2 linked regions of the Anolis sagrei genome follow. The protein of the gene in region 2 purifies or fractionates together with the protein of the main gene of each other region. This does not show direct contact. Links are inferred from orthologs where the notes say so. Each region holds a gene or a part of one and is shown on either strand. Other genes may lie near its edges.

Region 1 (3,747 bases), about 180 Mb from region 2:
AGCTGGAGATGTCTCTGCCTTGGTCCTTTCACTATTGGCTGCTACTTCCCGGCGGATGTCAGGTGGTGCAATACCAGCTTAATATCTTTCATAAATTGAAATAATTAACATGATAGGACCTCTGTCATTGGAGTTGTGCCTGATGATGCACCCATCTTTCCAGTCCGGCAGTGTCCCAACCAAAAGGCTTCCAAGGGTTCAGGCAATCCCTGAGTTATAAACATCTGACTTATAAACAACTCATAGTGAAGAACGGGGGTGAGACAAAAGGAAGGGAGAGAAATCTTCCCCTAGATGAAGAAATTTACTCCTGGAAGAGTAATCATGGGGAAAAGGTATCTCCACTGAGGCTTTATGAACAATCCTTGCTTCCACAACAAGCCCAATTTATCAAAATCCGATTATTACAGAGATAGAAAGTTAGGTGAAATCTTCTGAACAGGGGCTCAGACAGCAAGACAAACACCACAGGGATGTTAACCTTTCCCTATACTATCCAAAGATAGATAGATAGATAGATAGACTGGAGTTATACTTAAAAATGTATCTGTTTGGACTTACATAAGAACATACAGAACCTATCTTGCTGCCTGTATTGGGAAATAGTATCTGCAGGACTCTTCCAGTTATGGGACGTGTCAAGAAGAGGAAGCTGGAGAGATCCCTTGCAATGCTGCAGCAAAGGATCTAGATCAGTGGTTCTCAACCTGTGGGTCCCAAGATGTTTTGGGCTTCAACTCCCAAAATCCTAACAGCTGGTAAACTGGCTGGGATTTCTGGGAGTTATTGGCCAAAACACTTGGGGACCCACAGGTTGAGAACCACTGATCTAGATAATTAAATTGTGATGGCTATTATATGACGACTATTAAACAATTACTATTACCGTTTAAAGCAAATAAGCTCAATCACTTTATTTGTTACCATTAGTAATTAGGAATCCTGAATGTCTTTTTGCGATTCTCGATCTCACCTGCCGCCACCTCCAGGAGCCGCCTGGGTCGGCGGACAATCACAAATTCTGCCTCCTTCACTTTCTGCCGTTTTTGGGGTGGACTCACACACATCAGCAGCTCTTGGGGGGTGTTCTCGTTGCCCAGTTTATCCTTAAGGACAGAGACTCCCATGACGGACAGCAGCTCTGACGTCTTGTTGGAATGCCATCCCCATATGAAGTCCGTGTTGACATTGCTGCCCGAATCTGGAATTTCCTGGAGAAGTCTCCTACAAAGGAAGGGAAACACGGTGGTATATAGCTGGCATTTATATCGTAAGAAAGTGAAGAACAACAGAAGGAGAGAGCTACAGATATACTCTATTTCCTCAATTCTAATGGCCCTTCCAGACAGGCCCTATATCCCAGAATCTGATCCAAAGTTTTCTGTTTATCCCAGATTATCTGGCAGTGTGGACTCATATAATCCAGTTTAAAGCAGAACAACTTGGATGAGATCATGGGATATAGGGCCTGCCTAGAAGGGTCCCAAGATGCATATTTCCCCTCAGGCTGAGAAGGGTAGTATACAAATATGGTAAATAAATTACAACGCCATAAAACTCTCCAGCAGCGTGCAAAAGAATGAGGAAGTACTCCATCGGTCTCACAAGTGGATGGTGAAGTGACAGTTCCCCCCGGTGGCTGGAATTCAAAATGCATACCCTCATGAAGCTGGAGTGTTAAACAGCCTCTGTGTCTCTGTCTATATATGTTGTGTGTCTATGGCACTGAATGTTTATGTGCATTGTAATCCTTCCTGAGTCCCTTGTAGGGTGAGAAGAGCGGAATATGAATGCTGTAAATAAATAAATAATAATAATAAGTGCATTTCTTTTACAGTATAGATCAGGTAGGGGCAAATTTGGATACTCCAGGTGTTTTGGACTTCAACTCCCACAATTCCTAACAGCTGCCGGCTGTTAGGAATTGTGGGAGTTGAAGTCCAAAACACCTGGAATACCCAAATTTGCCCCTACCTGATCTACAATATATATGCACCTTAAGACATTTGGGAATTACAAACACGCTAGTCCAAACAAAAAATAAGTTTGCAATTCATAAATAACTTAATGCAAGAACATGTCCATCAAATACTACTGCACCGGATGATGGCTAAAATCCTGAAGCCAAGGGGGAGGAAAGAGGCGCGTGATCCCATCCCTTGTTTTGGGCGGGATCCACTGCGATTCCCCCTGCTCTCCACCCTAATGTAACCACTTTGCACCCATCCGCTTTTACCTGTGCATGGTGCTTGCAAATGGGGCTTTTGCATGGAGAACCAGGACCCCCCGATCCCTTTTTTCCCTCTCTTGCAACGCCAAACCCAGCAAATCTTCTCAGCAGCAGCAGCAGCCCCGGAAAACCCGCACAGCAGAAAAAGGCTCGCGCGCTTCGCCTTCCCGGGCCAACGTTCTCCCGGATCTCGCAATGGCTCCTGGGAATGGTAGTGCTTTGCAGCGGAGAAGTTACTTTTTTAAATGTTCATTTTTAAACTAATTTGGGATTCAGTTTCCCAAAAATGCAACTTATATCCAACAAATGGATATATAGAGAGATAGATATGGATATAAGATAGAAAAATATGGATATAGATATAGATAAAGAGAGAGATATAAATTGATATATAGTCAGATAGATATGGATATAGATAGATATGTATATAGATAGATATTGATATAGAGAGAAATGAATATGGAGATAGATAGCTAGATAGATATAAACAGATGTATAGAGAGATTAATATATCCCCCCCCCCCCCCTGTTGTGTCAGCTCCACTGGCTGCCGATCCAATTCCGAGCACAATTCAAAGTGCTGGCTTTGACCTACAAAACCCTGTACGGTTCCAGCCCAGTGTATTTGTCCGAACGGATCTCCCTCTACGTCCCACTTCGGAGTCTAAGATCCTTTGGGGAGGCCCTGCTCTCGACCCCACCTCTATCACAAGTGAGGTTGGCGGGTGTGAGGAGCAGGGCCTTCTCGGTGGTGGCCCCTCACCTGTGGAACTCACTTCCCGGGGAGATTGGATCGGCGAATTCCCTTCGAAAAAAATTAAAGACCTGGATGTGGGACCGGGCATTTGGACATTCTGGCAGCTAAAGAAAGACCTTGATGATGAGCAGGAATTGACGAAACGGAATGGATTTACGGAACTCTGAGCGCTGAGCATAGGATTAGTTTACTATTGTGTTAGTGTATTGTTAGAGCCCCCGGTGGCGTTAAAGCACTGAGCTGCTGAACTTGTTGATTGAAAGGTCGCAGGTTCGATTCCGGGGAGCGGCGTGAGCTACCGCTGTCAGCCCTAGCTTCTGCCAACCTAGCAGTTCGAAAACATGCAAAATGTGAGTAGATCAATAGGTACCGCTCCGGCGGGAAGGTAACGGCGCTCCATGCAGTCATGCCGGCCACATGACCTTGGAGGTGTCTACGGACAATGCTGGCTCTTCGGCTTAGAAATGGAGATGAGCACCACACCCCAGAGTCAGACATGACTGGACTTAATGTCAGGGGACTACCTTTACCTTTACCTTTAGTGTATTGTTATGTACTGATGATTTTAATTGTTAACTGTTTAAGTGCTGTTATGTATGTATGTATATTTGATATAGGCATCGAATTGTGCCTTCCTTTGTAAGCCGCCCTGAGTCCCCCCTCGGGGGTGAGAAGGGCGGGGTAAAAGTAACTGAAATAAATAAATTAATATGGATATGGATAAATATAAATAGATATATAGAGATAGATATGGATATAA
Region 2 (3,747 bases):
CAAGACAGATGGTTGCAGAGCGGGAAATGCCGGCTTGGCAGTGAACGAACACTCGCCCACCATCATTTTTAACAGAGTCTGAAACCAATGAGTTAAAAAATCACTGTTAGCAAGCACTTTCTTATCAAGCTTTTGTAAAAACTACATTTCACTTCGTGTGCTAAAGTGGGGTTATTTCCTAATTGTATAAGGTAGCAAGCCACTTGGCTGGGAGCAGAAACTGATGCAAAATAGGATGCAGATGCTTCATCTCTCATTGAAGATGATGGCCCCTGCTCTTACTAGTTATCAATATGCACTGAAAAATTAACATTTTGTCAGCATAATAGCCAGTGCATATTATACTCAAACATACTGAGATTCAATGTCCCTCTTTATAAATGCTGTTATCTGAGGGAGGCATAAGCTCCAACATGGCTTATTTTACATGCTGCTGTTCTGAAACCTCTAAAGAGATACCCTTCAACTCAGCTATAAAGGTGTCTGGAGCTCTCTATTACACCGATTTCTTAACCTCCAATCTGCATATGCTGCAGGGAGAGAGAAACGTCCTTTACCTATGAAATCGATGGCTTCATTAAACCAGCAGCTGATGTCGGCTTTGTGGCTGTCCTCCACGGGGATGCTTTTGTACTGATAGTGCCCTTCAAAATGGTTCGGGCAGTTGGCGGAAACATTGATCAAGGCTGTGATCCCCAAAGCATCCAGCATGTCTTTCCTGGACGCATGATAGGCACTGCCCAAATACAGGAAAGGCAGGATTTCCACAGGGCCACCCTGAAATAGAAGAGAGAAGAACACAATCCGTTAATCCTCTCCGGTGAAAGATAGCGTCACCTCTACACAGTCTCCACACAACTGCTCCCTTTTGAAATCGAGAATTCGTTGCATTTTCAATGTCACTGCTTCCCAAGCAGAGCGGTTTTTTCCACCCGTGTCCCAGTTTCAGGGCAGGGGGAGAGGGAGAGAAAAGGAAACATCCCTAGATTGTTTTCCAACTGACCTGGTCATACAGTGGGGTCCCGCAGGAGTTGCAGTTGGAATCGGCGCTGCCGGGTGCGTTGCTGGAGCTGAGTGGCAGCGTCAGACCCTTGGGAGCCGAGGGCTTTGTGCACAGTTCGGGGCAGAGGGAGGAAAAGGCATCATATCCGCCTACAGAAGGGGAGAGAGAGGGAGAAAAGGACGGTTATTATTTTCAGGGGCTGCTTTGAGAATGAGGGAAATTCTTTATTATCACAGACAAGTTACAAAGAGCGTGTTCTCACTCTCCCAACTGGTCCCTTTCTGGGTGGCACTTACTTCCCTCAAGCAAAGATTATTTTCTTTCATATTCTTGCCCAACTTTTGTTCCTTGTGGGCTAAATCTCTAGTCAGCTGGTCTCTTTGGGTGGCACTCATTTCCCCCAAGAAAAGATGGTTCATCTTCATTCCTAACTTTTGTTCCTCTGGAGCCAAATTTCTAGCCAGCTGATCCCTTTGGGTGGCACAATTTCCCCCCAACGATATTTGTGCCTAACTTGGTTCCTGGTGGGCTAAATCTCTAGTCAGCTGATCCCTTTGGGTGGCACTCATTTCCCCCAAGAAAAGATGGTTAATATTCTTGCCTCACTTCCTGGTGAGTTAAATTTTAGCCAGCGGATCCCTTTGGATTGCACAAATACGTATAGACTGTTTTCTTTCATGTTTGTGCTTAACTTTTGTTCCTTCTGGGCTAGATCTCTAGCCAGCGAGTCCCTTTGGGTGGCACTTCTATCCCCCAAGCATGTTAAAGATGGTTAACATGCTTGCCTAACTTGGTGGGCTAAATCTTTAACTAGCGGGTCCCTTTGGGTGGCACAAATTCCCCGAAAGGAAAGCCTGTTTTCTTTCCTATTTTTGCCTAACTTGTTTCCTCCTGGGCTAAATTTTCCCATGGGATAGACTCCTTCCCCCTTCTTGCCTAAGTGCCGACCCCCCCCCCCACCTCAATTCCCCGTTGCGTGGCGTGTCGCCTCACCTTTGAGGAAGGCGAGGCGGGCCTGGCGGGCCTCCCTGGCGAGGGCGTGGAGGGCGAGGAGGAGGGTGCTGTCCCGCTTGGGCGCTTCCAGGTCGGCGCTGCGCTCGTCGAGGAGGACGACGGCGCGGTAGCGTCCCTGCCGGAGCCGGGCGCGGGCCTCCTCGTTGGGCAGGAGGTGCTCGAGGCCCACGGCGCCCTTGGCCCGGCGGCGCACGATGGAGCTGAGCCGCACGTTGCACGAGCCCACCACGTGCGAGGCGTTGAAGGCCAGGAAGGAGCGGCAGTCCAGCACCAGCGCCGCCCCCGACTCCAGCAGCTCGCGCAGCGTCTCGCACTCCACGGCGCACACCTGCATGTTGACCATCGCCAGCGCCTCCGGAACACGGCCGAGAAGGAGCTCCAAGGGAGGGACGGACGTCTTCCCTCTCTCTCTCTCTCTCTCTCTCTCTCTCTTTCAGGGACTCCTTTGGAATCCCAGGCGCGCCTCTCTCTCTCTCTCTTGGTCTCCTTCTTCTTGCTTTCTCAATGAGCGGCTAGTCCTGGTGCGTAGATGACAAGTTCCGAGCTGAGTTCAGTCTTTTCCTCGCAGCCTTTGCTTCAGCGGCTGAGCTTTCCTTGCTGCTTGGGAGCGCGAGGACGGCAGCTTTTATACTTTCTGAGCGCGCAGCCTCGGCTTTGTCCCCGCCCCCTCCTCCCGCCCTCTGTGCCTTCTTTTTTTGTTATTTGTGAATGGGGCCGGAGGAGGTCACGTGACAACCTCTCCGCGAAGACGTCACTTGGCCGGTAGCCAGGCGGACACTCCCCGCCCCGGGAGCGCGCTCGCGTCATCGCTCGAAAAGCGAAGTCACCCCGGAGCCGCAAAAGCCCCGAGGAAGGAAGAAGGGAAGGAAGGAAGGAAGGGCCCGCCCCTCCTCGGCCTCCTTCGGGAGCTCTTCGCCCAGCAGGGGCGCCACTGGCCGTAGCCCAGCCCAGCCTTTTCGGAGGGCCAGGAAAGGGCACGCGAAGCCCCGCAGCGATCGCTCCCTCACCCACACAACCTCCTTTCACAAACACGTCCCTTTGTGGACTGACCTCTCCAAGGAAAGGCTATCCGCTCCAGGCCTCGAGGCTGCCTCCTCTTTACCTCATTTCTATCAAACAGGCGAGATAACCTCACAACCTCTGAGGATGCCTGCCCTAGATGCAGGCGAAACGTCAGGAGAGAATGTTACTGGAACATGGCCATGCAGCCCGGAAAACTCACAGCAACCCCGTGATTCCGGCCATATTTATTTATTTATTTATCCTGTCAGGAGCTAACCAAACAGTTTCATTGCATTAAACAAACAAACAAACAAACAAAACACAAAGTTTGCAGACTTGGTATTCTATTAAATGTCCTTTGACCAGTAGCTGGCCACTTGGCGCGCCTCTGGTGTTGCCATGAAAGCCTTCAATAATACATGCGAGTGGGTCTCTATATACATTTTTTTTTCGTATCAGAAGTGACTTGAGAAACTGCAAGTCACTTCTGTTGTGAGAGAATTGGCCGTCGCAAGGACATTGCCCAGGGGACGCCCGGATGTTTTGATGTTTTACCATGCTTCTCTCATGTCCCTGCATGGGGAGCTGGAGCTGACAGGGAGCTCATCCACACTCTCCCCATATTCGAACCTACGACCTGTCAGTCTTCAGTCCTGCCGGCACGAGGGTTTAACCCACTGTGCTACTGAGGGCTCTATATAAGTAAACCACAGTCTACACAACGTAGA

The links. The genes of interacting proteins can lie anywhere in the genome.
Region 1: the proteins of DUSP1 (region 2) and SKP2 purify together in Homo sapiens (affinity purification with western blotting; 3 studies listed by BioGRID and IntAct, with this or other methods). This does not show direct contact. The link is inferred for Anolis sagrei from reciprocal best matches to the Homo sapiens genes DUSP1 and SKP2.

What each region holds. Positions count from the first base shown.
Region 1 is NC_090022.1:279,561,342-279,565,088, forward strand, and holds the start of SKP2 (S-phase kinase-associated protein 2), read right to left. Parts: upstream 2,423-3,747; 5' UTR 2,245-2,422; coding exon 2,237-2,244; intron 1,225-2,236; coding exon 974-1,224; intron 1-973. UniProt on the Homo sapiens protein: Substrate recognition component of a SCF (SKP1-CUL1-F-box protein) E3 ubiquitin-protein ligase complex which mediates the ubiquitination and subsequent proteasomal degradation of target proteins involved in cell cycle progression, signal transduction and transcription.
Region 2 is NC_090022.1:100,932,496-100,936,242, reverse strand, and holds the start of DUSP1 (dual specificity protein phosphatase 1), read right to left. Parts: upstream 2,629-3,747; 5' UTR 2,361-2,628; coding exon 1,997-2,360; intron 1,153-1,996; coding exon 1,004-1,152; intron 778-1,003; coding exon 558-777; intron 79-557; coding exon 1-78. UniProt on the Homo sapiens protein: Dual specificity phosphatase that dephosphorylates MAP kinase MAPK1/ERK2 on both 'Thr-183' and 'Tyr-185', regulating its activity during the meiotic cell cycle.